Macaca mulatta: one gene and its partners. The protein of the gene in region 1 purifies or fractionates together with the protein of each later gene. This does not show direct contact. Links are inferred from orthologs where the notes say so. Each region holds a gene or a part of one and is shown in the gene's direction. Other genes may lie near its edges.

Region 1 (4,105 bases):
GTGGTGAGGCTGGGACCAGAGTCCCTTGTTTGAGGCCACATGGCTAGGGACCTGTAGTCCCAGCGTTCCAGATCTTTGTGACTCCCGTTGTCACGACTTTAGCTGTAGCTCACATGCCCACCTATTTTCGGGGCGCTTGGCAAAAGAGGGGCCAGAGAGGGCAGTGGGAGGGGACGTGGCCAGAGGGAAGGAGCTGGAGGGTTGGTGCTAGATTTTGCTTGGCTGGAGTTTTCCTGCCATTGCCTGGCAGAAGCATGGAGTCCAGGATTTCCTGGTGTCCCTGGCTGCCCAAACCCCTGCCTCACGGCCTGGGGTGATGGCCCCACACACCCCCCACACACACACCCCATAGAGCCCTGCTCTGCTGTGGGCACCGGTGGTGGGCAAAAGCTTGGGCTTTGTCAGACCAGGTTCACATTCCCACCCCATGTCTCACCGTGCCCTGGGCAGGTCACTGCCCCCTCTGGATCTGTTCCCTCACTTTCAAAAAGGGGCTCACCGTTATTTGACCCTCTCAGGGTCCTCAAGAAGCACCAGCCCCAGGCCTGCCATGGAGGATGTGCTCATTTGTCCCCTGCCCCAGCTGAGCCAGGTGGGAGGAGGCAGTGGGTACCTGTCTGAGGAGCCTTCCCCCTCCACCCACCTCTCCCTGCAGCCGTCTCTGCCAGCCAGGCTGGTGCTGAGCTCAGCTGCGGGAAGGTACTGACAAACAGAGCCAGGTGACACCTGAGGCTAGAGGAGGGGCGCAAAGAGCTGACTCAGTATCACCAGACATCCCCAAGTCCCCTCGGCTGCTAGGCCAGCAGCTCTGAGGGCCCTCTTGTTACTAACTCATCCTCCCCCTTCCCTGCTGCCCAGCTGGCTGTCCAGAAGTATGAGGAGCTGTTCCCAGCTTTCTCTGATTCCCGGGAATGCAAGTTGATGAAAGTAAGTGCTGGGTGCTCCAGCCTCCCCCTTCCCGAACCCCAGATGGGGGTGGCCGGGGCTCCAGGTGGGACAATCATCAAGACTTGTCCAGTGGTTCTCAGAGGGTATGTTTATTTTGTTTTCTTTTCTTTGGCCATTTGACTCTCCATTTTTCAGATAAAGAAAGTACAACTTGGGGAGTGCTGGAGCTCGGGATGGCTGGGTGAACACACACACACACACCCCACATGCACATGACACACATCCCACACACACACCACACCACACACACTACGTACACCACACACTACACATACCACATACACCAAACACTACATACACTACACCAAACACTACACACACCACACCACATGCTACACACACACCACACACGACACACACCTCACACAATCACTACACACACCACACACACACACACGACACATTACACGACACACCACACACATCACACACGACACCACACATACCACACACGACACACACCCCACACGACATACCTCACACACATAACACACACCACACGACATACCTCACACACATAACACACACCAAACACACCACACACACACCAAACACCACAGACACACACACCACAGACACACCACATATCCACACACACACACATTCTGTGTGATGTTCTATGTTGGTAAGGTTGCCCTGAGAGCTAGCCGTTTCTGATGAGTAGGGCAGCAGGATTGCAACACGCCCCTACCTGTCCCCAGTTTAACCCACATGGACTGACCCTCTGAGAGTCCTCAGGAAACCCCAGCCCCAGGCCTGGCATATAGATAGTGTGTGCTTTCATCTAATCCAGGCCGACCTCAGGTCAGCCTGGGCCCCAGACCCCTCTCTGCCATTTCCTTGCAGAAGTTGCTAGAGGCCCACGAGGAGCAGAATGTGGACAGCTACACCGAGTCGGTGAGTGGCCCGCATGGGGGTCAGGCCCCTTCACAGGGATGGGTCCCCTAGGAAAGCCGCCCTTCTCAGACATGCTCTCCCCTGACATTCACCCATTTTTATCTGGCCCCCAGCCCACTGTGAATTTCTTTCTCCATTCACCCCAGAAACCTCACAAGTAGCCCCAAGAGATGCAGGGAGTGTTTTCCCCATTTTACAGATGGTGGCCTTGGCACCTCAGGGGCAGAGCTGGTGTTCAGAGCCACATCTGTCTGCTCCTGAAGACCAGGGTTCCTTGAGTCCCCCAGTTGAGTGTGTGAGACTCACAGTGGCCGCCTTGGGCACCCAGGAGGCACAGACTGGGAGGGAAAGGGTGAGAAGGAGAGTGGAGCTGAGGACACGGGAGAGGCGCCAGCTTCCCTCTGCCTGGTGGAGCCGCCCACGTGGCTCTCTCTCCCTTCCCTTTCTCTGTTCCCAGCGTTCCTGGGCTCAGTGGCGTCCGGCTTATAGGTCCTGATTCGCTCCTCTAATGGCACATGTCAAGCATTTCTCCCCAGGTGCCCCTTGGGAATGGAAGCCCCTAGCTGAGGACAGCGAGCAAATGCCATCCGGTTCCTCTTGCCCCGGACAGTGGGTGGCAACTCAGCCAGGAGCTCAGGGAGGGGATGCCCAGCAGGCTGCGGCTTCTCTCTCCCATGCCCCATGGCACTCAGGAGTGGCCTTTTCCGTATCTCCAGGCCTCAGTTTCCCACCCATTCAATGAGGATGCTGGACCTTTTTTTTTTTTAAAGCTACAATCCCTCTCCCCCAAGGGAAATGTTGTGCCTAGCATAGTCAAGACAGACAAGAAGGAGCTCCCCTGGCTGAGTCGGGGCCTCGAGCCCTCCCTCTGCTCCTTCTCAGAGACCAGGGTGACAGGGACAGATCTTGAAAACCTTCAGACAAGTGCCCTTGGGCTGCAGGGTTGGGAACAGGGAGGAGCATGGCCAGCCCATCACCTGGTGTGCCCTCAGGTGAAGGAATATGACTCCATCTCCCGGCTGGACCAGTGGCTCACCACCATGCTGCTGCGCATCAAGAAGACCATCCAGGGCGACGAGGAGGACCTGCGCTAAGCCCCACCCAGCCTCCCAGCGCCCGTCTTCGTGTCCCATCTGCTTAGAGAGAGGTGGGGCCGAGACTTGCTGGAGAGCTTCCCTCCTTTCCCACCTGGGGAGTCCCGCAGGCCACAGTGGGCAGGTGGCAGCGGGGGTCAGCATGCGGGGGCACCAGAGGCCCAGGCTGCTGGCTGGACAGTCACCCTCTGCTCTCGCTACATCCCTTGCTCCCTGCCCATTTATTTAAGCCCCCATAGGTGCCCTTCACCCCCAAAACCAGCTGTACAGAATCTTTGATACAGACCTATTTGCTAGGGGTGCTGCCGGGGGTTTGGGGTCAGCATCTGGCCCCCCATCTCCTGACCAGCTGATTCATGAGGCCGGTTTCTGTCTCTCCCACTTTTGTCCCCCAGCCAAGCTCTAAAGCACATGTAGCCGCTGAGACTTGCTGTCTCTACGGGGGGAAGCTCCTCTTCCCCCAAACTCTGGGAGCTTCCCCCAGCCTCCTGCAGCCCCGACCTCTCAGGTTAGACCCCGGGCCCTGGAGCTTAGGGGGTTGTCCCCGACCCCAGCCCCACACCTGCTCCTTCCCTAATGCTTTGAGGTTTTCTTGGTTGGAAGCTGCAGCTGGCCCGAGAAAGAAAATAAAAAACAACACTTTTGCATGAGTCTCTCTTCCTCCTTGTCTCTGCTACCCACTTTGCCCCTGGGCCGGTCACCTGTTCTCCTCACACTCCTGGTCCCCCAGACTCTGGGCAAGCTCTTGGGAGGTTGGGAGCATGCATCCTTGAAACACGTGTGGGCTGGGTCAGTTTCTAGGTTGGGGAGACCCAGGGATGGTGGGCCTGGGGAGGAGCTCTGGCTTGGAAGTCCCAGAGCGCCCATCTTGATCTAACTTTCTCTGGGTTCTTGGGGTCCAGGGACCTTGGTTTCCTCAACTGGGATGCATGGTGATGATGCCACCCCTCAGAGCCAGTGGGAGGGTCGAATATGACAATCCTCATGACTGCTTTGGATGAGAATGGGTGGAAGCTCGCCGAATCTCCCATGTCCACATTTCCCTGGCAGGAAGGCTGAACGCCCCGGTGACAGTTGTTCCATCTGTCACAGGACGGGGGAGGAAGCGGCTTTGGTGGGCAGAGTCTGAGGCCCGAGTGGGTCTGGGGAGTGGGGGAGGAGATAGC
Region 2 (4,221 bases), on another chromosome or scaffold:
ATCCAAAATATGGTACAAGTTTGAATGGTATGCAAACTGGATACATGATTCCAAAATAGTTGTTTTTATTCCTTCTCAGCTTCTCAGGGGACTGTCACCATCCAATGCTTAGTGAATAGTTTGAGAAGACAAAGAATTTTAGAACTGACAACCAGGACCTTAGAGTTGATCTAATTCGGTTTCCGAATTCTTCACAGAATAGAAATTGGCTGAGAGAGGCTGAGTGATTAGACCAAGGTCACAAACGGGTGAACCAGAATAGAAGGCAAGTCAATGAACTCCCTTTATGAAATTCTAAAGTCTTGAATTAAGCCAAGTGTGAATCAGACATGGTCTATGCCATTTGCCTGCAGTCTCCCCTCTATCCCGCCACCCAAACATCAAGAGAACAGTCAATCTGGCCCAAAAGTAAAGGAGCGAGAGTGAAAGCAAAGAGAGCACGCCAGGAAAGGAAGAGAGACAGCGAGAGTGTGTGTGATGTGTGTGAAATTATGACCAGAAGAATACAGGAGAAGAACCTGAATTAGAAGATTCCAGGGAAGAAAGAAGAGGAAGTGCCTCCTGGAGCGAGGGAAACGGAAGGCAGGACGGCGAACTCGGGGGAGATTTGTGAAAGGGCATCTCTGCCTGGACAGGATCCGAAGATCTGGAAGAAGATCTGAGCTACATAGATAATACAGACTACCACAGAGCAGACGCTGTTGACTTGTGCCTCAGTTTCCCGCCCGAGTCATCGAGCACAGGGCTTAGAAATAAATCCTCACCCAAGGAAAAAATATCCTAGTAAGCCAGGTCGGTCTCAACATTCAGGAGGGCCGGCTCCTACTCTGGGGGGGCAAAGACCACCAAAATCCTGCTTATATTCCCTGCCTTGACTCCCACCTCAGTGTGGTCCCTGGTGTCCGCTCTTCAGCCATCGCATATCCGGGGCGGCCTGGGCTCACCCGGAACAGATTTCTTCCTCCTTGGATAACTCCGTCATGGGCACCTCAGTCCAGGACAAGCAGAGAGCAAACCCTGGCCGCGAAAGGTTGGAGTGCGGGACCTGCTACAAGCCAAATGCCTCTCGACCAGCGCCCTCGTCGCGACTCTCCCGCTCAGGACCCCTGCGCAGTCTCCGTTACAGTCACTTCCGGGGGTTCGCCGCCTCAAACTTCCCTCCGGAAGCAAGTTCCTGTGACCTGTAGCTTGGGGATCCGGAGCCGATTCCCAGAACACGAAGGGGAAAAAAAACTCTCCTAATGATCCCTCAGAACCTGCATATTTTCATACGCTTTTTTGGGGGGCCACTAATTGGGGCGCTTTTCCTTAGCGAACTTAATTATCTTAAAGACGGAGCGGAAAATAAAGCACGCACGCAACCCAATTTCCGGAGAACCGAGATCGCGACGAACAACCAGGAAGCGACTGGGTTGAGAGCTGTTCCCGGTTCTCCGTTCTGCTCTCGGGGGCACCTCCCGGGGTTCCTAAGCCGCGGCGCCCCTCGCTGCCCCTCGAGGCCGTTTCCCTGACCTAGGCTTTGGCCTGGGCCACTCGTTCCGGAGCCGTCATGTCGTCCGACTTCGAAGGTTACGAGCAGGACTTCGCGGTGCTCACTGCAGAGATCACTAGCAAGATTGCGAGGGTCCCACGACTCCCGCCTGGTGAGAGCTCTGCCCGACTGGGCGAGGGTGCTGGGGAGCGCGGGGAGGGTGCGGGCGGTGGAACGCCGCCCGAACAAGTGTGTCTGTGAGGCGCGAGGCTGGAGTGGGTGGTGCTGGCTGTTTCCCGGAGGGGTAGGGCTTGCCTTGGTTGAGGGTAAAGAGTCAAGTTCGGGTGTGGGGTGCAGTGAAAAGAGCCTTCGGAATCTGAGCCATCTGAGTTCGAATCCCGACTTCACTCCCTTGGAACTTGTATAACCTGGAAACGTTTCTTAACGTCTTAAGAGTCTTAATGTTTTCGTTTGTTAATTAGAGATGTGAGTATTAAAAGAAAATGAATGAAAGTACGTAGTTGATGGATCTACAATCTACAGCGGCGTTGTTGTGTTAGTAATAATATTGTTATAATTATATGTGGCAAAATAGAGGTAGGAATCAGGGTGCCTAGATTCAAATCCCACCTCTGTCACTTAAAAGTTGTGCCTCTTAACTGGGGAGGCAGAGGTTGCAGTGAGCCGAGATCTCGCCATTGCACTCCAGCCTGGGCAACAAGAGTGAAACTCCGTCTCAAATAAATAAATAAAATAAAATAATAAAATAAAAGTTGTGCCTCTTAAGCAGACTGCTTAGTCTCTTTCAACTTTTCTTCTTAGTAAATGGGGGGAAATTGTACTTCTGTCATGGGGTTGTTAGGTAGATTAAATTTAAAAAACATATTTAAAGCCCCTTTGGTGTTGTTAGTTGCTGTATTAGCATTAGTATTTTTCATATCTCCCCATCCCCATTTCTTGTTTCTCATCCTTCTTGGGGATTTATTATATAACGCAGTTTTATGTCAAAGTTGGTACAAGATAGTTTTTCACACTTAAAAAATTTCACATCTCCCATCTGGAAGTGTTTTTGTTTTGGGGTTTGCTTTTGTGTTTTAGCACATCTGATTTTCTATGCTAGACTGTCACCTTTGTGAAGGTGGGAGCTGGGTCTGATTTGCTTGGTGCTTACTTATTAGGGGCTCAGAAAAATAAGTGAATGAGCAGGTGAATATAAATATGATCTTTTGTAACTTTGGTTTGGAAAATGTTGTTTCGGGGATTATCTTTCTCTACAGATTTGAGTAGTTAATCACAGAAAAGGATTTTACATTTTTGTTTAGTTTTGTTAGGGAAACTGAACCATCATCTGGCTGCTAGGCTTGTCCTTACCCTAGCTCCAGGATGTAAAGTGTAGAAAGGGGGATGCGCTCATTAATCTTCGGATTGGTGGGCACTTCACTTGCCCAGTTGTCCTGGTACTAGCAGTAATTTCTCCCGGACCTAAGTTGTCATTCCTCTTTCCCTTTCCCTACTTCCCCCAAAACTTACATGTTTATAAGTAATTTTTTCCCCTTATTTCTTTGTTTTTCTTCCCCTCACCTATTTTCTGTTAATACGGATATTTGCTTGAAGCCAGGATCTCTGAACTTACAACCCACTCATCTCCTGAAGTCCCCAGTTAGTTCTGGAGGAGATGGATGATGTCTTAAAGAGGTTTATGAGTCCAAGTAAGGGAACAAGAGGAGAGAACCAAGGTAGTATATACCACCAAGCTCTGCTGCCTCAGAGATTTTTGTGTCGAAAGTGGCTGATGGCCTCACCTCTTCATGATACATCACCTCGCCTCTTCTCTTCAGTTCTGCTTTTCTCCACTGCCAGAGATCATCTTGATTTTTGTTATTGTTGGAGACCACTTCCTTTGAATTGAGTCCCAGAGCCTCAGAGTATCAGGACTTGTGGTTCCAGTTAGAGTTTTACTCATTTTTAATTGTAATTGTTTTAGCAGTAGAAACATTTCTTTGGGTTATTAGCTTTTGTATTGGGAAGCTGTTTTACAAGGTAACAAAATCATCCTCGCATGCAAAGTTGTAAAAACTATTTCCAAGAAAACAGATCGTGTCACAATTTTTTTCTTACCTTTATATTTTAATGTAACAATTCTTAACACATAGAAGGAAACTGTTTGAATTCAGTACCTTAAAAATAAAACTGTGGGTGGGGCGCGGGTGGCTCATGCCTATAATCCCAAAACTTTGGGAGGCCGAGGCGGGCAGATCACTTGAGGTCGGGAGTTCGAGACCAGCCTGACCAACATGGAGAAACCCTGTCTCTACTAAAAATACAAAACTAGCCCGGTGTGTTGGCGCGTGCCTGTAATTCCAGCTGCTCAGGAGGCTGAAGCAGGAGGATCGCTTGAACCCGGGAGGCAGAGGTTGCGATGAGCCGAGATTGCATCATTGCACTCCAGCCTGAGTGACAAGAGCGAAACTCCATCTCAACAAATAAATAAATTAAAAAAAAACTGTGCCTCTCCTTAGCTGTAGTATTATGTAAGGCCCAAACACAGGAGCTACGTTACAATTGAAAGGAGACTGCATTGCTGGCTCTGGAAAAATGCTTACTGACTTGTATTATTGAATAATCATAATTCTTTTATTTTTTTTTTCTTTATGAGACAGGGTCTTGCTCTGTCGCCCAGGCTGGAGTGTAATGGTGCAATCTCAGCTCATTGCAACCTCTCCCTCCTGGCTCAAGGCTACTCCCACCTC
Region 3 (4,345 bases), on another chromosome or scaffold:
AAAGAAAAAATGTCTTCCAGCCACCATTCAGAGAGCTTTTCACCTATCTTTCCAGGCGCCTCTCAACATATCAATCATTTGTGTAAGGCAGTGCAGTTATTTGAAAGATAGACACTAATTTAATTCACCTTTTCAGTTACAATCCTCTGAAAGTCTTCTAAAAGGCATTTTCCAGCGATGACGAACGTCCTCCTTTCTGAGTATTGTGTCATCGCTGCTCCATTCCCTTTCACTGCAGAGCCTCTCCTTATCTCCCTAGTGCTCCCTCTTCCATCTGATCCATCTGGCCGCTACTGCCAGAGAAATTGTGCAGCACGGATCTCCCAAGTCCGTGAGTCAATGGTTTCCAGGGCCCACTACAATCAAATGACATTTTTCTTGTTTACCCTCTTTATTCAGTCTTCTTTTCACTTGTACCCAACCTGCACCCTGTAGGTGGTCTGTGCACACTGCGTCCATTTTCACTGCTGTCTTTGTTCATGGTGTTTGTCCAACCCTTACTGGAAAGTTCTTTTCTGCTAGTACCCAGCTCAAATCCCACCGCCTTTGTGACAGTCTCGTTTATTCGAATATATACGAATGTTTCCCTTTTCGAAGTATTCTATTTAGAGTTGGAAAAAACAGCATAGTATTTAAGTACTGTATTTTTCACTTCTCATTTAAGAGACCCACCAATGACCAAACACCTATAGTGTTTTATTTTTTGATGTCGGTAACTGTGTTGGTAGGAATATTTCAGTGACAAATATATACAAGGTAACTCACTGCGTTCAGATTTGTGCTTCCCTCCCTTCGACCAAAACCTGAGGACCTATTCTGTGTTAGGGCCTAAAAATACAGAAATGAAGGAACTACAGTCTTGATGCTAAGGCTCTCGTAAGCAGATTATAATATGATCTGCAGGGACAAATATTTGTGTTACCGAGGAAAACATGAGCGGGAACCTAACCCAACCCCATGTGACAAATACCTGAAATGGACTTCCTATTTCAACTACTTTCTCAGAGAAACATGGTGCCCTCGGGATCACTAGGTTAATCTGGAACATTCAGCAGAAGCCAATCATCTGTCTCTAATACTGTTAGAGAGAAATGGTCCCGAGCCCAGAATAACATGAGTTGCGCCCACCCTCACTTATCCACACAGTCCCCAGCCAGTGCCTAATGCGCCACGTTTGCAGACCACGTCCCCAAGCGCCAGCGCGGGCCGCGGTGCAGAGAGGAAGCTGTATTGACCTGCACTCTGCGTTTCAGAGCCCGGACCGCCCTGGGACCCCTGTGGCCCTCAAGTTCCCAAGTGACCTAGTCCAGGGAGTGGACATCTCGCTCTGACCCCGCCCTGGACGAGCCCGCCACGACGCGCCCGCCCACGACGCCCCCGCCCACTTCCGGCGCGCCCCCTCTGCGCCCCGCCCACTCCCGCCGGCCCTGCCTAGTGACGTCTTTGCCCGGAGTCGCGCCGTTCCGCCCATCTCCTTGGCCTCCGGTCCCTACTTCGCTGCTCTGCTGACCCTCGCTCGCCGCCGCCGCCGCCGCCGCTGCCAAAATGTGAGTGACGCTGCGCGACGCGGGCGGCTTCGGGCCCCGCAGGCGGCAGCTCGCGCTGGGATCGCCGTACCGCCCAGTTGCCGCCGGCCGCCGCTCGGACGCAGGCCGGGGCTGCGCGGGGATCCCGAGGCCTGGGGGTGGGCGGTAGCCCTTGGGGCGCGGGCTGCAGACGGGCCGGGCGGGTTCCGCTGCCATGGGGCGGACGCGGAAGGGGCGAGGGCGGGGCGGCGAGGCGCTTCCCGGAGGAAGTGAGTTGCCCGCCCGCACCCCGCTCCTCGCCCCTTCCCGTTCTAGTCCCAGAGGTCCCGGAGAGGAACGGGGACGACTGCCCTGGTTCGGGAGGGCCGGCTCTCGGCCCAGTTGGGCCCCGGAAGTTGCAAAAGAAAGGACCTCGGCCCTGTGCTGAGCCACTGTGGGCCCAAGAGCTCCTTGCCTGGCTAGGGGCATCTGCACTGGAAAGATCACTTAACCGTGGGCCTTCGCACTCTTAAGCGAAAGCGCTCTTGTGGCCCTTGCAAACCGGTGCTTCCAGTGGTAACGCTCAGAGAATGTTCATGGTTAAGAATCACAAGGACCCTCTCTTCCACCTCCATTCTGTTCATTGCTCACCGTCGGAGGAAGCCCCGGGTTTCTTCCAGGAGTTGGGGACCCCCCCTCGAATGTTCCTGCTGAGGCTGCTGTGTCAATAGATCACAGTGGTTAAGATCTAGATCCCAGGTACACAGGACCTGATCTAAAAACAATCTGAACGGCAGCCAGCTGTGTTGACTTTTTAAACCTCACTTTACTCATCTGTAAAATGGGAGTAATATTCCCCTCAGAGAGTTATGAGAGTTGAAGGAGAAAATGCATGAAAAGAGTCTAGCACCACGGCATGGTCCTTACTTATCTACCAGACACTAAACTCTGTGAGGACGGCGATGAGATCTGTTGTAGCCCTGGTCATTGACACATGACAGATGTAAAGTGACTGTTCAAACAGTCCATCAGACTGTTGTATACTAAGGTACATGCTAGGTGCTATCTAGGATACAGAGAAGAGAGTAAGAAGACCCAGGAACCTGTAATCTATTCGAGGAGGCAGGACTTTATACCTGAAAAACCAAAGTGATACTTTCCAAGTAATGGAGCCAATAATGACTTCAGAGTCAGAGTGGTTAAGAAGGATCTGCATGAGGAGAAATAAAGCCTTTGATGAAGATTTTAAAAGATGAGTACCTTCCCGGGGCGGGCGCGCTGGCTCATGCCTGTAATCCCAGCACTTTGGGAGGCCGAGGCAGATGGATCACCTGAGGTCAGGAGTTCAAGACCAGCTTGACCAACATGGTGAAACCCCGTCTCTACTAAAAATACAAAATTAGCCGGGCGTGGTGGTGCATGCCTGTAATCCCAGCTACTTGGGAGACTGAGGCAAGAGAATTGCTTGAACCCAGGAAGCGGAGGTTGCAGTGAGCCGAGATCACACCATTGCACTCCAGCCTGGGCAACAGGAGGGAAACTCCGTCTCTCAAAAGAGGAAAAAAAAAAAAAAAAGAGTACCTTCCTAAAAGGGGAAGCATTGCTTCAACACACCTTTCCACTCACACCAACCGCTCCCTGCATCCCAGTGTTCCTGACTCTGTTTCTGTAAATTAATCTATTTTTCTATATTGGAAAAAGGGCATTCTATAACTGTTTATAACTATGAAAACAGTTCCTGCCACAATGAAAAGATCAGGAGAGTACTGAGTACGTTCAAGCAGATGTGTGCCTTAGAACAAGTTTCAAAAAAGGACAGTAGAGTTTACCTGTCGTGGGATCAGATACTTCAGGGATACAAAGTAGGTCCTATTAAACCTTCACGTTTGTCCCTTTAGTAGGTGGGACAGTCTTGGAAATTATAGAGAAATTAGAAGAAATGTAATTAAAACTTTTGTTCATTGCTTCAGGAAGAATTTCTTTTTCTGCTTTAGTTCTAATGTAAGAAATTGTTAACAGTGAGAGTCCCGGAGTAACTTCTTTATACTTAAGAAAATGTATTTGGAATCATAATTTACTCATGCTCCTGCCTTTACATGTTCCAGGTCTACAGGTCCAACTGCTGCCCCTGGCAGTAATCGAAGACTTCAGCAGACACAAAATCAAGTAGATGAGGTATTGCTCTGAAATGTTGGAAATATGAATTTTAAACAAGTATGAGCACTCTGGAAATCTGTTTAGAAAAAGTATCATGAAAGTGTGAATGTAAAGCAAATTCTGACTGTATCATAATTGTAACAAAACTTTGCTCCCTGCTGTGCTGGAAGATCTAAGCAAAAGTCAGACTTTCTAGGTTTCATGCTTGTTTTCCTGTGGTAGAATCACATACCTGCTCATAACATTTAGCTCAGGAAAAATAAAAAATCATATGCTTAAAACATGAACACCACTCCCTGAGTGTATTCCCCAAGAACCACTTTATAAAATAGGATAATACAATGTTAGGATTAGGTCTTTAGATTGCTCAAGCCAAGACCAGTTCTTCTGATCAGATTTTTTATCAAAATGCTTTGTCCACTTACTAGTTATCCAGCCTGAGCAAGCCTCTCTGTAGAATTCATCTCTAATGGCTGTCCACTGACTCACACAAAGTAGATACTGTCAAACTCCATTAGCCCAGCAAATCTCTATTTGTAGAATTCTTGAGCTAGAGGACCTTCATCTTTTGTTCTGCACTGTATGTGGAGAACCACAGCAAAAGATTGAGAAATTCAGACTAGTATTTCCACATTCCTAAAAGCTGTCACTGTCCAACAGATATGTTTCGGTCTTTCTGCATT
Region 4 (3,584 bases), on another chromosome or scaffold:
CACTTCACTCCGGCCTGGACGAAAAAGCGAAACTCCATCTCAAAAAAACAAACAAAAAAGAGGGCAGGCATGGTAGCTCAAGCCTGTAATCACAGCATTTTGGTAGGTTGAGGGAGGAGGATAGCTTGAGGCCAGGAGTTTGAGACCACCCTGGGCAAAAAAGCAAGACCCCTGTTTCTAAAAAAAATAAAAAGAAAAAAAGAGTTATAACATTTCACTAGCTTTCTGTTAAGAAGGTTTTTTTATGGTTTTTTTTTTAAATAGAGATGAGATTTGTGCTATATTAGCCAGGTTGGTCTTGAACTCCTGGCCTCAAGCAGTCCTCCTGCCTCAGCCTTCCAAAGTGCTAGGATTATGGGCATGAGCCTCCATGCCTGGCCTGTTAAGAGGTATTTAACCCAAAGCATAACCTCAAGGAAGTTTCTGAAAACCAGGAGATGTGATTCTGTTGAACTAACTGGCAAAGCACTGATAGGTCACTTAGCTTGCTCTTCTCCACCCACTTGGTACTGAAGGTACCAATGCAGCTTGCACTTTGAGAGTGCTCTGGAAGATGATGGGGCAACATAATTCAATGAGTTCAAATCTCTGGCTACTTTCCTTGTCTGGCAAGCCCCAGTGAGATTACAGAGCATACCCCTAAATGGAAGCAGCCAGGAGTCCCATCCCTCATAATTCTGCTACATGTCAGCTTTGTCCATGGAAGCTGAGTCTTTGTTTTCCTGGTATAATCAGTTCTTTGCTTCCGGATATGAAGAATGTGGCCCTCCAGTACTTTATTGATAGCAGAGGAGTGGAGCCCTGGTAATGTCTTTGCATAGGTTCTGCTGGCAGTAGAGATGCTGGCAGTAGAGATGTCTTGTAATGCCTTTGAGAGGAGAAATCACCTAGTGTGCTTGTCTGCCTGCAGCCATGAGGAGTGGAACCAGATGCAGAGCCAGGAGGATGAGGTGGCCATCACTGAGCAGGATTTGGAACTTATTAAAGAAAGAGAGACGGCAATTCGGCAGCTGGAGGTGAGAGCCAGGTCATGTTTTTTGTTTGACTCAGTGTATCTGCAGGTATCTGGACTCGTTAGTTCACTTTAATTCTCTTAGTGATTATGAAAAAGCATAAAATGTGTCATTGTGTGATTTGTATTTTTTCTGTCTCTGTGTAATCATGGTGGGTTTCAACTACTGTTTTTTTGTTTTGTTTTGTTTTGTTTTCTTGGACGGAATTTCGCTCGTCGCCCAGGCTGGAGTGCAATGGTGCAATCTTGGCTCACCGCAACCTCTGCCTCCTGAGTTCAAGCGATTCTCCCGCCTCAGCCTCCTGAGTAGCTGGGATTACAGGCATGTGCCACCACGCCCAGCTAATTTTGTATTTTTAGTAGAGATGGGGTTTCTCCAGGTTGGTCAGGCTGGTCTCGAACTCCCGACCTCAGATGATCCACCCACATCGGCCTCCCAAAGTGCTGGGATTACAGGCGTGAGCCACTGCACCCGGCATGAACTACTGTTATAACGGTATTGGCTTTGGTGCCCAGGAGTACTCAAATCCTTTCTTCAATCACCACGTCTTATATGGATCACCATATCTTATTTCTCCTGGAGAGATGTACATGGACAACAGAACAAGGCAGACAGATATTTTATTGCTCATTAGAACTTTGACCTCAAATCTCAGTGCCAACCTCTGGTTTAGGCAGGACTCCATGGAGAGCCCCTTTGCTTAGTCTGAAGAGCCCAGAATAAAGGCAGGCCAAAAGTCTTGCTCCATTTTTATGTATCCTAAAGTCTAATCCCAAGTTGTAAATCTTATCCCTTCAGTGGGTCAGAGAAATAGGAACAGTTTTTGAGGTGGAGGTTGAGGGAGAAGTCTGTAGGCCTTTCTTACCTAACTGAGCTTTCAACTTTAATTTTGCACAGTGACTAATAAAAATATCCTTTTTTTTTTTTCCAAACTGAGTCTCGCTCTGTCGCCCAGGCAGGAGTGCAGTGGCGCTATCTCAGCTCACTGCAGCCTCCCCCTCCTGGGTTCAAGCAATTCTCCTGCCTCAGCCTTCTGAATAGCTGAGACTACAAGTACGCGCCACCACACCCAGCTAGTTTTTGTATTTTTAGTAGAGACAGGGTTTTGCCGTGTTGACCAGGCTGGTCTTGAACTTCTGACCTCAAGTGATCTGCCTGCTTCAGCCTCCCAAAGTGCTGGGATTACTGGCATGAACCACTGTGCCCAGCTAAAATATCCTTAACCCTGAGTTTTCTCCAGTTTAGTTTTCTCTGAAGGTAGAAGGCTGCCATTGCTGGGATTGGGGGAGGAGAAAAGGAGAGAGGGAAATTTTGAGCAGTGGTTCTGAATGGTGACTGCATGTGAGGATCACCTGGAGAAGATTTTTTTTTAATGCCCAGCTCTCATCTAGCACTAATTATTTGATGGAATAATATGAAATTCCTGTTTATTATATGTTAAACATGGGCAAATATCCATTATTTTATATGGTTCAAACTAATAAATCATAATTTCTGGGCATGAGGCCCTGGGCATGGGTGTTTTTTTAAAAAGTTCCCCCAGGTGATTATAATGTGCGGCCAGGGTTGAGACCCACTGTCCTAGAGGCCATCAATGTCTGTTTTAATTTATTTATTATTTATTTTTTGAGTCAGAGTCTTACTCTGTCACCCAGGCTAGAGTACGGTGGCGCATTCTTGGCTCACTGCAACCTCTGCCTCCTGGGTTCAAGCGATTCTCCTGCCTCAGCCTCCCAAGTAGCAGGGATTATAAGTGCCTGCCACCACGCCTGGCTAATTTTTGTATTTTTAGTAGAGATGGGGTTTTGCCATTTTGGCCAGGTTGGTCGTGTCTGTTTTTAGATGGGATAGTTTATCCTTAAGTTATGATTATTTTATTGCCTTCAAAGATGTCATATCTTTACTCTTTTTCACCTACTGCTACTACTAATTGAATTAATTGTCTAACATTAGAAATACGGCTAAGTGCAATGGCTCATGCCTGTAATCCCAGCAAGTTGGAGGCTGAGGCAGGATGATTGCTTGAGCCCAGGAATTCAAGACCAGCCTGGGCAATGTAGCAAGACCTTACCGCTACATAAAATAAAAAATTAACTGGGTGCTGTAACATGTACCTGTGGTCCCAGCTACTCAGGAGCCTGAGGTAGAAGGATCACTTGAGCCCAAGAGATCAAGGCTGCAGTGAGCCACGATCATGCCAGTGCAATCCAGCCTGGGCAACAGAGCAAGACTCTGTCTCAAATAATAATAATAATCCTTCCTTTAAAAAAAAATTACTGGCCAGGTGCAGTGGCTCATGCCTGTAATCCCAGCACTTTGGGAGGCTGAGATGGGTGGATCACTTGAGGTCAGGAGTTCAAGACCAGCCTGACCAACATGGTGAAACCCCATCTCTACTAAAAATACAAAAAATTAGCCAGGTGTGATGGTGCATGCCTGTAATCCCAACTACTTGGGAAGCTGAGGCAGGAGAATCGCTTGAACCCGGGAGGCAGAGGTTGCAGTGAGCAATTGCATTCCAGCCTGGCAACAGAGCGAGACTCTATCTCAAAAAAAAAAGAAAAAATACAG
Region 5 (4,344 bases), on another chromosome or scaffold:
AAATTGTTATTTTCTATTCGACGAGAAGTGAGAGTTGGCAGGCAAGCAGAGATTGTGTAGGAGTTTTGAGAAGGAAGGTGTGAACAGCCCCCGAAAGAGTGGGTGAGTGATTTGACCACGGAAATGTGGGAGCGTTGCTCAGCAGCACCAAAGGTCGGCTTGATGTTTATGATCATTAAAATGAGTCATGTTAGCATGCTCGTTTGTTTTTTCCAGTCAAATTCACTTGCTCAAGAGGAGTTCCAGAGTAGGTGGAGAGTTGGGGTTTTTCCTGGCTGGGAGAAAGGAGGGAGAGGGAGCCAAGGCCGTTGAGAGTACATGCACTAAAATGATGGGACCTGAATTTATGCTGGGAAAAGAGGGAAGTGTAAGAGCAGAGGGATAGGGAGAGGTGAGGAATCTGATGCAGGTAAGTAATTACTGGCACTAAGAGGTATGAGCTGGAATGGAAAGGGAATGTAAAGTGAGCTGCTTGAAACCGACACTATGGAGGGCACACAGTTATGAGTAAAGTCAATGGTGTAATACCAGGAGTGTGTGGCTGCGCTGGTGTGGGAAGATCACAGGAGGCTGGAAGCTGAGAGGCTGTATAAGCATTGCAGGAATCATCCATGTGGATATTGAAATCACCATGAATTATGAATGGAGCCAACTGTATTACTGGTTACTATTTTTACCAGACCACTGTACGCGACTTTAGATCCCTCAACTTCCCGTTTAGAGCACTTATCGCGGCTTGAAATATTAGAGCGATTATTTGCGCCGGGCACGGATTATTAGACAGTAATCAGGGCTTACAAGTCTGTTTCGTTTCTTGACTGACATACGATTAATACCCAAAAGGCAGGATGGATAGATAGATGAATACTAAGGCCGGGCGCGGTGGCTCAAGCCTGTAATCCCAGCACTTTGGGAGGCCGAGACGGGCGGATCACGAGGTCAGGAGATCAAGACCATCCTGGCTAACACAGTGAAACCCCGTCTCTACTAAAAATACAAAAAACTAGCCGGGCGAGGTGGCGGGCGCCTGTGGTCCCAGCTACTCCGGAGGCTGAGGCAGGAGAATGGCGGGAACCCGGGAGGCGGAGCTTGCAGTGAGCTGAGATCCGGCCACTGCACTCCAGCCTGGGTGACAGAGCGAGACTCCGACAAAAAAAAAAAAAAAAAAAAAAGATGAATACTATTCTATCTGTGATACAGAGAAACTTCAGATGTAATAAATTATAAGGCCAAATAACCCTACAAACAGGATCCACAGTTTCACATCAATGAAAAAGCAAGACTTCAAGAGGGCAGGAGTTTTTGTCTGCCGATTTTCCCGCGTCTAGCACAGTGCCTGACACATATTAAGTGCTCTGCAAAAACTGAATGAAAGAACACGCCCCATCAGTATCTCACCGCGCCTGCGCTAGATGCCCTGGGTGCGGCCAGCCTTGAAGCGCTGCGCCTGCGCGATGTCTCTTTGCGGGGCGCCCCGGTTGGTTCCCAGCCCCGCTTCGCCGCAGAGGCTTGGGCCGTCCGGCCCTCCGTAGTCGCTCGACTGTCGCGCTGCACCAGCCTCCTCCTCGGCGTTCCCACGCCTATTTGGGCGGATTCTTGGCGCCCGAGGAAGAGGTAGGCGCACCGTGTCTCCACGTCAGAGACCGGACTGTGGAGATGGCGGCCCAGAAGATAAACGAGGGGCTGGAACACCTCGCCAAAGCAGAGAAATAGTGAGTGAGAACCTTCCATGGGCCTGCGTGTGGACGCCGGGTCCGTCTCTCACTGGCGCGGCCTTAGCACCCGGCGGGGCGGGAAGGAGGGGTCAGGGATAAGGGGACCCGGCGCGCTGGTACCTGCGGGGCTGCAGGGGCTCGGTGTCCCCTGGGTCGCACTCCCGGGGTCGAGCTCCCGGGATCGGGCTGGAGTCAGGTCCGCTGCGCCTCGGGCAGCGCCGTGGGTCCGCCCCGCCGGAAGTCCGCTCCCCGTGGCTGGTGTGGGCGGGGACCCGGCGCGGTGCTGCCGGGCTGGTAGGTAAAGGGGGCTTCTCTACTTGTTGTGATCGGGGCTGTCGGTGCGTCGGAGGCTCGTTAGCAACATCCCTGGCCTCCACCTGCTGGGTGCCGGTCGCACCTCCTCCCCGTTTGTGGCAACCCAAAATGTCCTCTGGGGTACAACATCGCCCTGTCGAGAACCACTGCCCTTGAAAAGCTCCTTGTGTGGAGGGGACCATAGGTTTACCCCAAAAACTCCTCGGTGAACCTTTGTCATCTGGCAGTTTACTTTTCCTGTGGGCAGGGACTGTGCTCCTTTCGTCCTTTGATGTGTATGTCCTTCCACCTCTGGTACAGTACGTAGTAGGCACCCAGCAAATGTTTGTGGGACTGAACTGATACTCCTTAATTTATCCTTTGGGCAGCCTCTTCCCCCCCCCCCCCCGTTTCATTACTCCAGCGCATTTTTATCTGTCAGTTACAGTTAATAGAAAGCCAGCATCGTGCTCTGTGGTGGGGGCTTCACATACATCATTTCGTAAGCTGAGATCTTCACAATAACTTTCCAAATAGAGATGATAATTTTTCGTAAGAGGAAATGAGACTTGGGGAAGCCTCCTAACGACTTATGCCAAACCGCACAGGTGAAAGATGGCAGAGCCAATTTTCGAACAGTGGAAAAACTCAGGCTATCACATGACTTGAGGCAGTCAGTGTGTAAGGTACTGGGGCTCGGGTTCCCACAACAATCTGACTTTCTAGTGGGAGCAAACGCAAAATTTGTAGTAAGAGTAGTGTGTAGAATAGGGACCACAAAAAAAGCTGTATTAACTGTGCATAGGTAACGCAGAGGGAGAAGTTTATTCTTCATGAGAAAATTTGAGGAAGAAGGCCGGGCGCGGTGGCTCAAGCCTGTAATCCCAGCACTTTGGGAGGCCGAGACGGGCAGATCACGAGGTCAGGAGATCGAGACCATCCTGGCTAACACCGTGAAACCCCGTCTCTACTAAAAATACAAAAAAAACTAGCCGGGCGAGGTGGCGGGCGCCTGTAGTCCCAGCTACTCCGGAGGCTGAGGCAGGAGAATGGCGTAAACCTGGGAGGCGGAGCTTGCAGTGAGCTGAGATCCGGCCACTGCACTCCAGCCCGGGCTACAGAGCAAGACTCCTTCTCAAAAAAAAAAAAAAAAAAGAAAAAGAAAATTTGAGGAAGAGATGATTTGTGAGCAGGGCCTGAAAAATACAGAATGTTTTAGACAGAGGGGAAATCTTGTGAAAGAGATTCTGTGCGCAAACTGTAGTATGTATTATACACGGGCCTGAAAATGTGCTCTGGGAACAGTGAATGTAGTGTAGTCACAGTGCCAGAGGACGAGCTGGAGTGAAGAAGAGTTGGGGCCAGACTGTGAAGGGACGGCTTCTCAGATGGCTGTTGTAGGCATCTAACCAGAGAACCCGGTTAGATTTGCTTTTGGTGGAAGAAATGTGGCAGCAGGCTGGGCGCGGTGGCTCACGCCTGGAGTCCCAGCGCTTTGGGAGGCTGAGGTGGGCGGATCACTTGAGGTCAGGAGTTTAAGACCAGCCTGGCCAACATAGTGAAACCCTGTCTCTACTAAAAATACAAAAATTAGCCAGGTGTGGTGGCGCACACCTGTAATCCCAATTGCTCCGGAAGCTGAGGCAGGAGAATCGCTTGAGCCCCAGAGGCAGAGGTTGCTGTGAGCAGAGATGGTGCCACTGCACTCCAGCCTGGGAGACAGAACAAGACTCTGTCTCAAAAATAAAAAATAAAAAGGAAAAGAAAAACGTGGCAGCAGTGTGGAGAATGAACTTTGACATATTCAGTAAACAAACATTTACAAATTGTCTCTGCGTACTTGTGCCAGCCACTGAGGATACTGGAGTAACCAAAGTGGCCCCTTCTTCAAGAACTTAGAATTCACAGACGGGCAGACAAGTGAACAGAGGACTAAAAAGAAGATATTCAGTGCTAGAAGTATTCAGTGTAGTATGGTGGAGATATGAAGCAAGGAAAAGGTAATATGCTCCGGGTGTGGGGAATGGAAGAGGAGGAAAGGTGACTGTCCCATGAAGGTAGTGCCAGACATGTTAGTGGGTTGTTGACTTCAGGGGAGAGGTGGTGATGGCCTGGATTCAAGTACAATACAGGGGTGGGATTGGGTGACATTTGTCAGTATGTAGTTGACATGCTTTAATGACCTGCCTACATATAGAGATGAAGGGTTAGCTCCCAGGTTTCTAACTTGGGAGTGGGAGAGGCCTTCAGCCAAGATAGGGGATAGGGGTTAATGGATGTGCTTGGTGAGTAGGTCTGGGGCAGGGAGGTGTGGGGTTCAGGCTTGAAGTGTTAG
Region 6 (4,217 bases), on another chromosome or scaffold:
GAATGCTAGGATGTTTCCTAATAGCATTAAAAATAAGATAACCTATTTTAAATGTCACAAAAATAAAGTTTTTATTAATGAAAAAAGCCATTGTTTCACACTATAAAACAGTCTTACATAATCGTTAGGCTAACTTCATTTCATTTATATAATTTTGAAAGTCAAGTTTTTGAGGCAGAGTCTGATTTCATTTCAGAATTTGGTGCAGCTTCATAATGAAGTGTCATCAATGAACTCGGGAAATGAGCTGTCATTGTGTATCCATTTTTGTCATACAGTAAAATCTATAGATTAAGTTAGAAATCCCGTAAATTTTGTGGTCATGTGGCTTCAAGTGTACATTAAACAGCCAGCACAAGACCAGCCTGGCCAACATGCTGAATCCCCGTCTCTACAAAAAAAAAAAAAAAAAAAAAAAAAAAAAAATTAGCTGGGCGTGGTGGCACCTGTCTGTAGTCTCAACTACTGGGTTGGCTGAGGTGGAAGGATAGTTTGGGAGGATTGCTTGAGTCCAGAAGGTCGAGGCTACAGTGAGCTGAGACTCTGCCACTGCACTCCAGCCTGAGCGACAGAGTGAGATACTATCTCAAAAACAACAACAACAAAAAACCAGCACATCAGCCTGTCCTGATGGTGTGCCGCTGTAGTCCCTTGCTACTTGGGAGGCTGAAGCAGGAGGATCGTTTGACAGTCGGAATTTGAGGCTGCAGTGAGCCCTGATTGCGCACTTGAGCCTGGGCAACTTCCTTCCCACGGCAATGTGATTTTGCAATTACTACAAGGAAAGAGGAGAGATGCTAATTTCTCATTTTGTACCTCCCTGGATCCCGTGTCCATGCCGGCAGAACGCCACCATAAAGCTAGACCCTTTTTTTTTTTTTTTTTTTTAAGAGATGCGACTGAGAAATATGCCAGATTAGAGTGAAGCTCCAATGCTTTCTGTTTCTCTGGAAAAAGGAGCAAAGGGAAGACTCCTGCTGCACTGAGAAACTAGAGCTAACGTTAAAATGTTGCCTGTGTTTCAGGAGCTTCATTTACTTCAGTCCTGTGGTCCTTATACTCCTAGAGTATTATCACCCCGTCAGTGCTCTGTAAGCCACCAAGCCAACAGTTCAGTAATTAGGTTCTTAGCACTACACGCTCCTACCCTAAGAGTTCAATTTAATGTTGCTACCATTTGAGAGAGTGTGGCTTGATAAGACAGGATAAAAACTCGTAGTATTCGGCTAACATTACGGGCCACTGAGTTAACCTGCACCGGCTCTCCCAGTTCTATCGAGAGTGGAGGTCTTCCTCGAGGAGGTGGAGTCCGGCCCTCAGGCACGCCCTTTTGCCCCGCCCTTCCGGGCTTTGCTTCCGGGGCGGTAAGGGCAGCCACGTCATCCCCCGGCTCCGCTCGCCAGCCGGGCAGTGGCTCGTGGGAGTCAAGATGGCGTCGGCGGCGGCAGCGACAGCAGCAGCAGCCAGTATTCGGGAAAGGCAGACAGGTACTGACTTACTCTCTTCTTGAAGCTTCGTGACTGCCCCGACGACATTCTTCTCCTGTGCTTGTCGCCCTCACTCGGTCGTGGTGCGTGCAGCTCAGAGAGCGATCTCCGGGAGTTTAATCCAGTCCCTAGAACATCAAGAGCCCCTCCCCTTTGAGTTTTTGGGGAGAAGATGCCATTAGCTTGACTCGGTTCCTCCTGTGGTGCAGGAGAAGGAGCTTTAGCGGTGGGCAGATTGCTATGGCCTTGCTCTTGTCTCCTTCCTAGTGGGCATCAGAAGGCCATCACAACAAGATCTAGCAGCAGATAGCTTCTTATCTATGTTGCCACCTATGAGGTCTCCGAGTTTGTTTCTGTGCGTGGTTCAGTTCTGGTTTTGATTTTTGAGAGAACTCCCATTTTCTGGCACTTCCACCACAATTACAGAATTTAGGTATTTTCACAGCGGCCTGCTTTGCGCCACTTCTCTACTTCGGACCAGCCTTTTGGGGGTACCTGCAGAAAAATGCCTGGTGATAAAAGATTTTCTCCTTCACCTTGCTGGAAGGCATTGAGGAATTGAATTAATAGCTTTCTCATTTTAATTGTTTGACAGATTATTGTTTTAAAATAATATTTTATCTTCAATAGAGCATGTTTATATAGCTTGTATTTATGCAGAGAAATGTAAGAAGCTACATATTCTTGAGTTTTGGGGTTTTTTCCCTCTTAGAAATTAGTTTTGCCTTATTTGAAAACTTACGACAACTTGGTTTATACCTGTGAGCTACAAACTAAAGGTTGAACTAGTTGTCTTAAAAGTTTTCAAGCCATTTATTCTGAGGAGCTAATAGAAATAAGGCGTCAAGCATGTGCATACTTGGAATTCTGTTTGCTGAAATTATGCCCTGTTGGATATAAATATGAATAGAAAAATGAATTTATAATTCATATGACCTACAGAAGGAATTTGGGCTGTACTTGATTCCTTTCTTTGGCATTTAAAGAAATTAAAGAAAAATGTTAGACTTCAATCTAGTAATGACACACAAAAGATGCTGAGTTGCGTTCTGCTTTTCCCAGTAAATAATTTAGTGTAACCTATCAGGTGAAGTCAGGCATAATCAAATATAGGGAAGTTCAAATAAGATTTGGGGCATACCTGCCATTCATTGTATCTGTTTAAGCAAATAGAAGCTCCATTTGTTTTAATGCTGTGTTTCTGATGACTATACTACATATTAAAATAACGTGTCAGTGAAACTGTACCAATACAAGAGAGCTTTTTGAAAAATAAATTTGCATGGCAGTAAACTTGTATGCAGAAACTTTGTAGATCATTAAAATCTAATCGTTTGTATTTCTGCAGAAATGAACATAGTTGAGATTTTACAGAATTACTAGATAGATTGTGCTAGATCTATTCTTTATCATATTTTTACTGTCATTGAATTCTGCCTCATTTTCAGAGGAAGGTAAATCCTTGTGTATATATTGTAATACAGAATTAGCTATTTCCCTCATGCCTATTGAGAATGTTTTGGGAAATAACTCACAATCCTCAAATATTCTCGATACTGAAATATTTGGGTGGATGAGATAATTGTTAGCATTTATTGAGCATTTACTATGGTTAGGCATTGCTTTAGGTGATTATGTATTATTATCTCCATTTTACAGGTGAGGAAAGTAAGATAGAGGTAAACTAACATGCCTGTTTCTTGCTTTGCCTGCCTGAAAAATCTTTATTGGTCTTTTGAATGTCATCCCACAAGCTCACAAGCTATCTCCTTTCTTCCAGGTTTACTGTCCTCTCTATCCATACCTTCAGTTCAACAGGTAGAATCAGTTGCCTCCTGCTTTGTGTTACTGTTGTTCTTCATTGAATGCGTCTTCGTTACAAGTTCTTGCACATCTTCCCTGCTTCTCAATGTTGCTGGGTCCCATTAGTGTTAGCATCTAGCAACTTAGCTTTCAGTATTCTCTATGTTGATGATTCCCAGGTTTATATCCCTAGTCTGGCCCTCCCATCTGAACTCAGTCTGCTCCATATCAGTTAATGGCAGTTGCATCCTTTTAGTTGCAGGTCAAAAACCTTGAAGTTTTCTTGACTTGTCTCTTTCATGTCTCATGTAAGATCTTTCAGTAAATCTTGTCAGTTCTACTCTGAAAATACATCCAGGATCTGACTGTTGTCATTGCTATTTCCAGATCCTATCCACTATGAATTTCTGCAATAACCTATTTGGTCTCCTTGCTTTTACGATCCTGTTCTCCTTCGTTATTTTTCACACAGTACCCAAACTGATCATGCCATATGTTTGCTCAAAGTCTTCCAGCTTCTTCCCATTTCAACCATGATAAAAGCCAAAGTGATCTTACAGTGTTCTACAAGGCCTTACTTATATGATCTGGTTCCCATGTAGCTTTTGGACCTCATTCCCTATTTCTCTTCCCTCTCCTTGAACCCACCAGGAATGCTCCCACCTTCGAGCCTTTGTATTTGTTTCTTCTTTGTGGAATACTGTTTCAGAGAGAATCTCCATGGCTCACTCCCTCATTTCCTTTAGGTCTTTACTCAGATGTTACCTTCTCAGGAGGCCTTCCCCAATTACTCTGTTTAAAATTACACCCCAACTCCATCTTCCTCTTTCCCAATCTTACCTTTCTTCATAGCACTTACCATGATCTACATTCCATGTGTTTTACTTATTATTATCTTTTTTTTATTTTCCCTATCCCCCAATTAGA
Region 7 (4,026 bases), on another chromosome or scaffold:
CACACGTGTGTAAAGTTTGTTCCACGCAGAAACAAAGGACGCGTGGGGGCCGCTTCTGGGGCCTAGGTGTTTTGTTGGAACCCCACTCCGGAGTCCGGCCCGCACCCTCGCCCGGCAAGGGGAAGCCGGCCCTAGACAGACCGGGGGCCCGGAAGGCGCAGCAGCACAGCTCTGCGCCCTCGACCCGCTCCCGCCGAGCGCTGGGCCAGGCCCTTGGCCTCAGGCTTCCCGGGCGGCTCCGGGCCAGACCAGAGCCTCCGTCACTGGGCGCCCGCCTGTTTCTGGGCGCCGTGCTCGGGCCCGGGCAGCTGCTGCCCGACGCGGCCCCGAGGAGCCCCTGCACGAACCCCGCCGACTTGGCCCGGGACGGCAAGCCGGGGTGCTTAGGGCGCCCCGGGCCTGGCCAACGGCGAGAAACCGGGCCCGGGACGCCAGGGGCGCGGGGTGCTCCGGGCCAGGGCCCAGGCGGGGAACAGAGATATTTTTCGCGGGGACGGGGGCAGGAGGTGTCAAAGTTTTCGGGGAACTTTTCCACTTGAGATTCCACGACCCTGTAGTGCCACCTACAGAAAGCGGCAGCTGGGGAGGGCGGGCGCCCCCAACGACCCCCGACTGCCGGCGGCTGCGCGGCCAGACTGCCTGGAGCTTTCGCTTTTTTTTTTTTTTTTTTTTTTTTCCTTTTTTTTCCTCCTGGTTGTTTGTCGGGTACATCTTTTTTCAGAGTGGGAAAAAAAAAAAAAAAAAAAAAAAAAAAAAAAAAGCGAGCGCCAGCGCCTGCAGTAGAGCGTGCTCGGCCTGCAGAGGCAGTCGTCTCCAACTTTTCCTCTCCCGCTCCAACTCCCCGCGCCCAAAACTTCGGCTCTCGGGGAGCCCAAATTTGCCTGCCGCGCAACTTCCACTCTAATGCAGGGACCAAGGGCCCTGGCAGCGGTTTGCAGCCTGGGGGTCACGCTCCCCAGGCTCGGGCCTGCTCGCTGGCCTGCTCCTAGTGCCTAGACCCAGTTGGGGAAGGCGAAACGGGGCGCCCCAGGAGCACCCCGGGAGAGGGCGGAGCACTCTCGTGCCCCGGGGCAGGAGTGCAGGGAGCTCCCGCGCCCGGAACGTTGCAAGCAAGGCTTGCGAGAGTCGCAGGGGGGCACTCGCGAGGGACGGACAGGAAGAGGGCCAGGGGGGACGCCAGAACCCGGGACCACAGTACGGAAACGGCCCGGGGCTGAGCTGCAGTCAGATCCGGGGATGGAGGGAGCCGGAGAAGAGGAGTGAGAAGGCCGGGGAGGCAGGCCCTGCTGTCCTCCTGCAGGCCAGCAGCCTGCTGGCAGTGGAGGACCAGGCCACCCAGGAAAGGAAGGGGTCAGGAGGTCGGGCAGGGCCTCAGCAGGCTCAGACAAGGCCCCAGAAGGGAGCTGCAGGCGCCCTGGAGTCCAGGCCTCAGGCCTGGCTCCGGTTGTCCAAAGAGGGCCTAGGCCAGGCCTCTGGTGGGGAAACTGAGTCACAGCCAGACCTCAGGGCACGGCCTAGACGCTTACGAGCCAAGTTAGGGGTAGAGAGCAAAGACCTTTGGGGGTCTCAGGGAGTAGGGGGCTTCAGGGCCTCCCAGTCCAGAGCTGGATTGGCGAGTTAGACGCTTGTAGATCCAAGGTTGGATTGGGGTGGGGTCTCTGGAACGTTGGATCGCTACGCAAGGATTGGGGGGATTCAAGTGCTTAGAGATCGAAGTCGGTCCTGGGTAGGGGGAGTCAGACAATTGGAAAGCCTAGGTAGTTATTTGGGGAGGGGTCTCTACGCTTTGGCGAAGGGCACAGCTGCGTCTTTTTGGCTTGAAGCCTGAGGCCTTGTCGAGAAGCTTCTGTGAAAGGGTGGGCCGGCCGGGTCAAGAGAAAGAAAGTGAATAAACCAGGAATATAAGTGGGCGGGGGGCCCCTGAGAGGGGGGTCACAAAGGGTGAGACATGGCCACCAGGCGTTTAACCGACGCTTTCTTGTTGTTGCGGAATAATTCCATCCAAAACCGGCAGCTGTTAGCCGAGCAAGTGAGTAGTCACACCACCTCCAGCCCTCTGCATTCACGTAGCATTGCTGCGGTGAGTCTCCCGGCGGCCTCTCCGACACACGGACCGTGTGCACTGCGGCTCTGCCTGTTTGTCTGTCTCTGTCTGTCTCTCTGTTTAATAAAAGAAGATAAGAATAATAAGACTAAGGATAATAAGATCTCTTGGCTAGAATCAGGGGGCATCTGTAACCCTGGATGGGGAAAAAGCGGTGCTGTGAGGCCGCAGCTCCACCTCTGCCTTGTCTTCTCCTCACTTCCGCAGCACCCCCCCCGCGCATCCCCCGCCTTGGCGTCACTGCGCTACAGGCCGCCTGTAATTTACATATGTTTTAACGCTAACATTGGGAAGCATTGGGCCTTTCTGAAGCCTTTTTGTTTCGTTTTGTTTGAAGCTCCCCTCCCCCCAATAGTGAGCCTCAGTTCGGTCCTAATGGCTGGGTCGCGGGACCATGGACCCAAATCCTTGCAAATGAACGACTCCCTCTCCTAAAGAGGAAGCAGTTGTGTTGTTGTTTTGTTTTGTTTTGTTTTTCTGCCCGTTTTAACGGTCCCGCAGCCCTTGTGTGGCCTTGTTCCCTATGAATAATTGTTTCACTGTTCTTCCTGGGGGCTTGGGTTTCTAAGACTCGAGGTGCTAGCCTCTTCACTTTCCATTTCCCAGACGGGAAATTACGCTTTCCTCTCCATTCGAACTTTTTAAAAAAGCCTGAGGAGGTATATGTGAAAATTAACCCTCTAAAATAACATTTTTTTTTTTTTTTTTAAATTAGCCAGAACCTTTAGTTAGCCTAGCAGTAGTGTTTTTTAAGGGTGGTCCTGGAAAAATTACTGTTTCTGGTTTGTTTTTAATGGGGGCTACTTTTCCCTTTCTGAGCCTCAGTTTACTGCTCTGTTAAATAAGGGGCGAGTCTAGATGATCTATACCAGACAGTGATCGTTAGCTCGGTAATGTCTTCAATTGAAAAGTGAAGTTATGAAATTGGCTGTAGTTCAGGCTACCTGCTGTAGGGAGGCTAGGTTGGAATAGAAGCAGCGTTGGAACAGGCGGGTTATAGCCATCCCAGGACCACATTCTTGGGGATTATACTTGATAGGCAATTTTGGAAACCCCGCATTTATTTCACCTCCTAGGGACTGTATTGCCAGTTCATTTTTTTCTTTGTGACTTTATCTAAATGTTTCAGAAAAATTTTGCCATATGTCATGATTATCATGTCTACAAAGACAGTTTCTCCTTTTTGTAAGTCACAAGTGGAGAATGTCTTTGGCCATATAACTGATAGAAAAGTGATTTTAAGCCATATGAGCGGTTTCAGGAATAAAAGCATGTAAACTCAGGTCAAAAAGCCTAGAAACAGGGACAGAGTGTGTGTGAGATTTCAGTTAAGAAGTTGAAGGGTTTTACATTTATAAACTGAAAGGAATGACATTATATTGAAATAAATATAAAGATGTCTGGTAGCATAGAAACGGGCTAATTCTAGCGCTAATTTTGAAGAAAAAAATAAGCCAAGAAATTGAGTAGCAATTGGATGAATACAATTCCTTAATGGTACTTCAGTAATGTTAAATAAGAACTACATGTTCCTTAAATGACTTGATTTTTGTGCTGCCTCAAAAACAACTGAAACTGATATTAAGATTTCTAAGGTATCAGTTTTAATTGATTGAAAAACATATTGTTTATTTTTCAATTTTTAATCATTAAGGTTCAAAATACCCTGAACCTTTGGGTAACATGAGGGTTTTTTTTTTCCCCCATTTAGTCAGATGGTTTAAAAACTTAGTATCTGAGACAGGAAGCTTTTTAAAAGTCCTTCTCTGAATCAAACCACTTTAGAAAATTATTTTCTAAGTTAGGCAATTTAAAAAAAATATTTAAGCTAAGCAAAAGAACTAAAAATGGATAGCTAAAGTATACAGTTTGGAAAAATAGATACGTCAGGATATATACAGATATATTTACCTAACTCACAG

Evidence for each region.
Region 2: the proteins of NAPA (region 1) and VTI1A purify together in Homo sapiens (affinity purification with mass spectrometry; 3 studies listed by BioGRID and IntAct, with this or other methods). This does not show direct contact. The link is inferred for Macaca mulatta from reciprocal best matches to the Homo sapiens genes NAPA and VTI1A.
Region 3: the proteins of NAPA (region 1) and VAMP3 purify together in Homo sapiens (affinity purification with mass spectrometry; 3 studies listed by BioGRID and IntAct, with this or other methods). This does not show direct contact. The link is inferred for Macaca mulatta from reciprocal best matches to the Homo sapiens genes NAPA and VAMP3.
Region 4: the proteins of NAPA (region 1) and STX12 purify together in Homo sapiens (affinity purification with mass spectrometry; 4 studies listed by BioGRID and IntAct, counting the BioPlex papers as one, with this or other methods). This does not show direct contact. The link is inferred for Macaca mulatta from reciprocal best matches to the Homo sapiens genes NAPA and STX12.
Region 5: the proteins of NAPA (region 1) and NAPG purify together in Homo sapiens (affinity purification with mass spectrometry; 3 studies listed by BioGRID and IntAct, counting the BioPlex papers as one, with this or other methods). This does not show direct contact. The link is inferred for Macaca mulatta from reciprocal best matches to the Homo sapiens genes NAPA and NAPG.
Region 6: the proteins of NAPA (region 1) and SCFD1 purify together in Homo sapiens (affinity purification with mass spectrometry; 3 studies listed by BioGRID and IntAct, with this or other methods). This does not show direct contact. The link is inferred for Macaca mulatta from reciprocal best matches to the Homo sapiens genes NAPA and SCFD1.
Region 7: the proteins of NAPA (region 1) and STX16 purify together in Homo sapiens (affinity purification with mass spectrometry; 4 studies listed by BioGRID and IntAct, with this or other methods). This does not show direct contact. The link is inferred for Macaca mulatta from reciprocal best matches to the Homo sapiens genes NAPA and STX16.

What each region holds. Positions count from the first base shown.
Region 1 is NC_133424.1:59,984,909-59,989,013, reverse strand, and holds the end of NAPA (alpha-soluble NSF attachment protein), read left to right. Parts: intron 1-858; coding exon 859-927; intron 928-1,794; coding exon 1,795-1,845; intron 1,846-2,837; coding exon 2,838-2,939; 3' UTR 2,940-3,590; downstream 3,591-4,105. UniProt on the Homo sapiens protein: Required for vesicular transport between the endoplasmic reticulum and the Golgi apparatus. Together with GNA12 promotes CDH5 localization to plasma membrane.
Region 2 is NC_133414.1:124,588,115-124,592,335, forward strand, and holds the start of VTI1A (vesicle transport through interaction with t-SNAREs homolog 1A), read left to right. Parts: upstream 1-1,390; 5' UTR 1,391-1,549; coding exon 1,550-1,643; intron 1,644-4,221. UniProt on the Homo sapiens protein: V-SNARE that mediates vesicle transport pathways through interactions with t-SNAREs on the target membrane. These interactions are proposed to mediate aspects of the specificity of vesicle trafficking and to promote fusion of the lipid bilayers.
Region 3 is NC_133406.1:233,019,322-233,023,666, reverse strand, and holds the start of VAMP3 (vesicle-associated membrane protein 3), read left to right. Parts: upstream 1-1,482; 5' UTR 1,483-1,545; coding exon 1,546-1,547; intron 1,548-3,610; coding exon 3,611-3,680; intron 3,681-4,345. UniProt on the Homo sapiens protein: SNARE involved in vesicular transport from the late endosomes to the trans-Golgi network.
Region 4 is NC_133406.1:213,128,276-213,131,859, reverse strand, and holds part of STX12 (syntaxin-12), read left to right. Parts: intron 1-910; coding exon 911-1,016; intron 1,017-3,584. UniProt on the Homo sapiens protein: SNARE promoting fusion of transport vesicles with target membranes. Together with SNARE STX6, promotes movement of vesicles from endosomes to the cell membrane, and may therefore function in the endocytic recycling pathway.
Region 5 is NC_133423.1:81,479,230-81,483,573, forward strand, and holds the start of NAPG (gamma-soluble NSF attachment protein), read left to right. Parts: upstream 1-1,543; 5' UTR 1,544-1,656; coding exon 1,657-1,712; intron 1,713-1,835; coding exon of another isoform or gene 1,836-2,212; exon of another isoform or gene 2,213-2,864; intron 2,865-3,187; exon of another isoform or gene 3,188-3,782; intron 3,783-4,344. Other genes in the region: uncharacterized protein LOC114673869, read right to left, coding at 1,836-2,212. UniProt on the Homo sapiens protein: Required for vesicular transport between the endoplasmic reticulum and the Golgi apparatus.
Region 6 is NC_133412.1:103,727,418-103,731,634, forward strand, and holds the start of SCFD1 (sec1 family domain-containing protein 1), read left to right. Parts: upstream 1-1,417; 5' UTR 1,418-1,429; coding exon 1,430-1,487; intron 1,488-4,217. UniProt on the Homo sapiens protein: Plays a role in SNARE-pin assembly and Golgi-to-ER retrograde transport via its interaction with COG4. Involved in vesicular transport between the endoplasmic reticulum and the Golgi.
Region 7 is NC_133415.1:111,443,199-111,447,224, forward strand, and holds the start of STX16 (syntaxin-16), read left to right. Parts: upstream 1-1,211; 5' UTR 1,212-1,948; coding exon 1,949-2,029; coding exon of another isoform or gene 2,030-2,092; exon of another isoform or gene 2,093-2,160; intron 2,161-4,026. UniProt on the Homo sapiens protein: SNARE involved in vesicular transport from the late endosomes to the trans-Golgi network.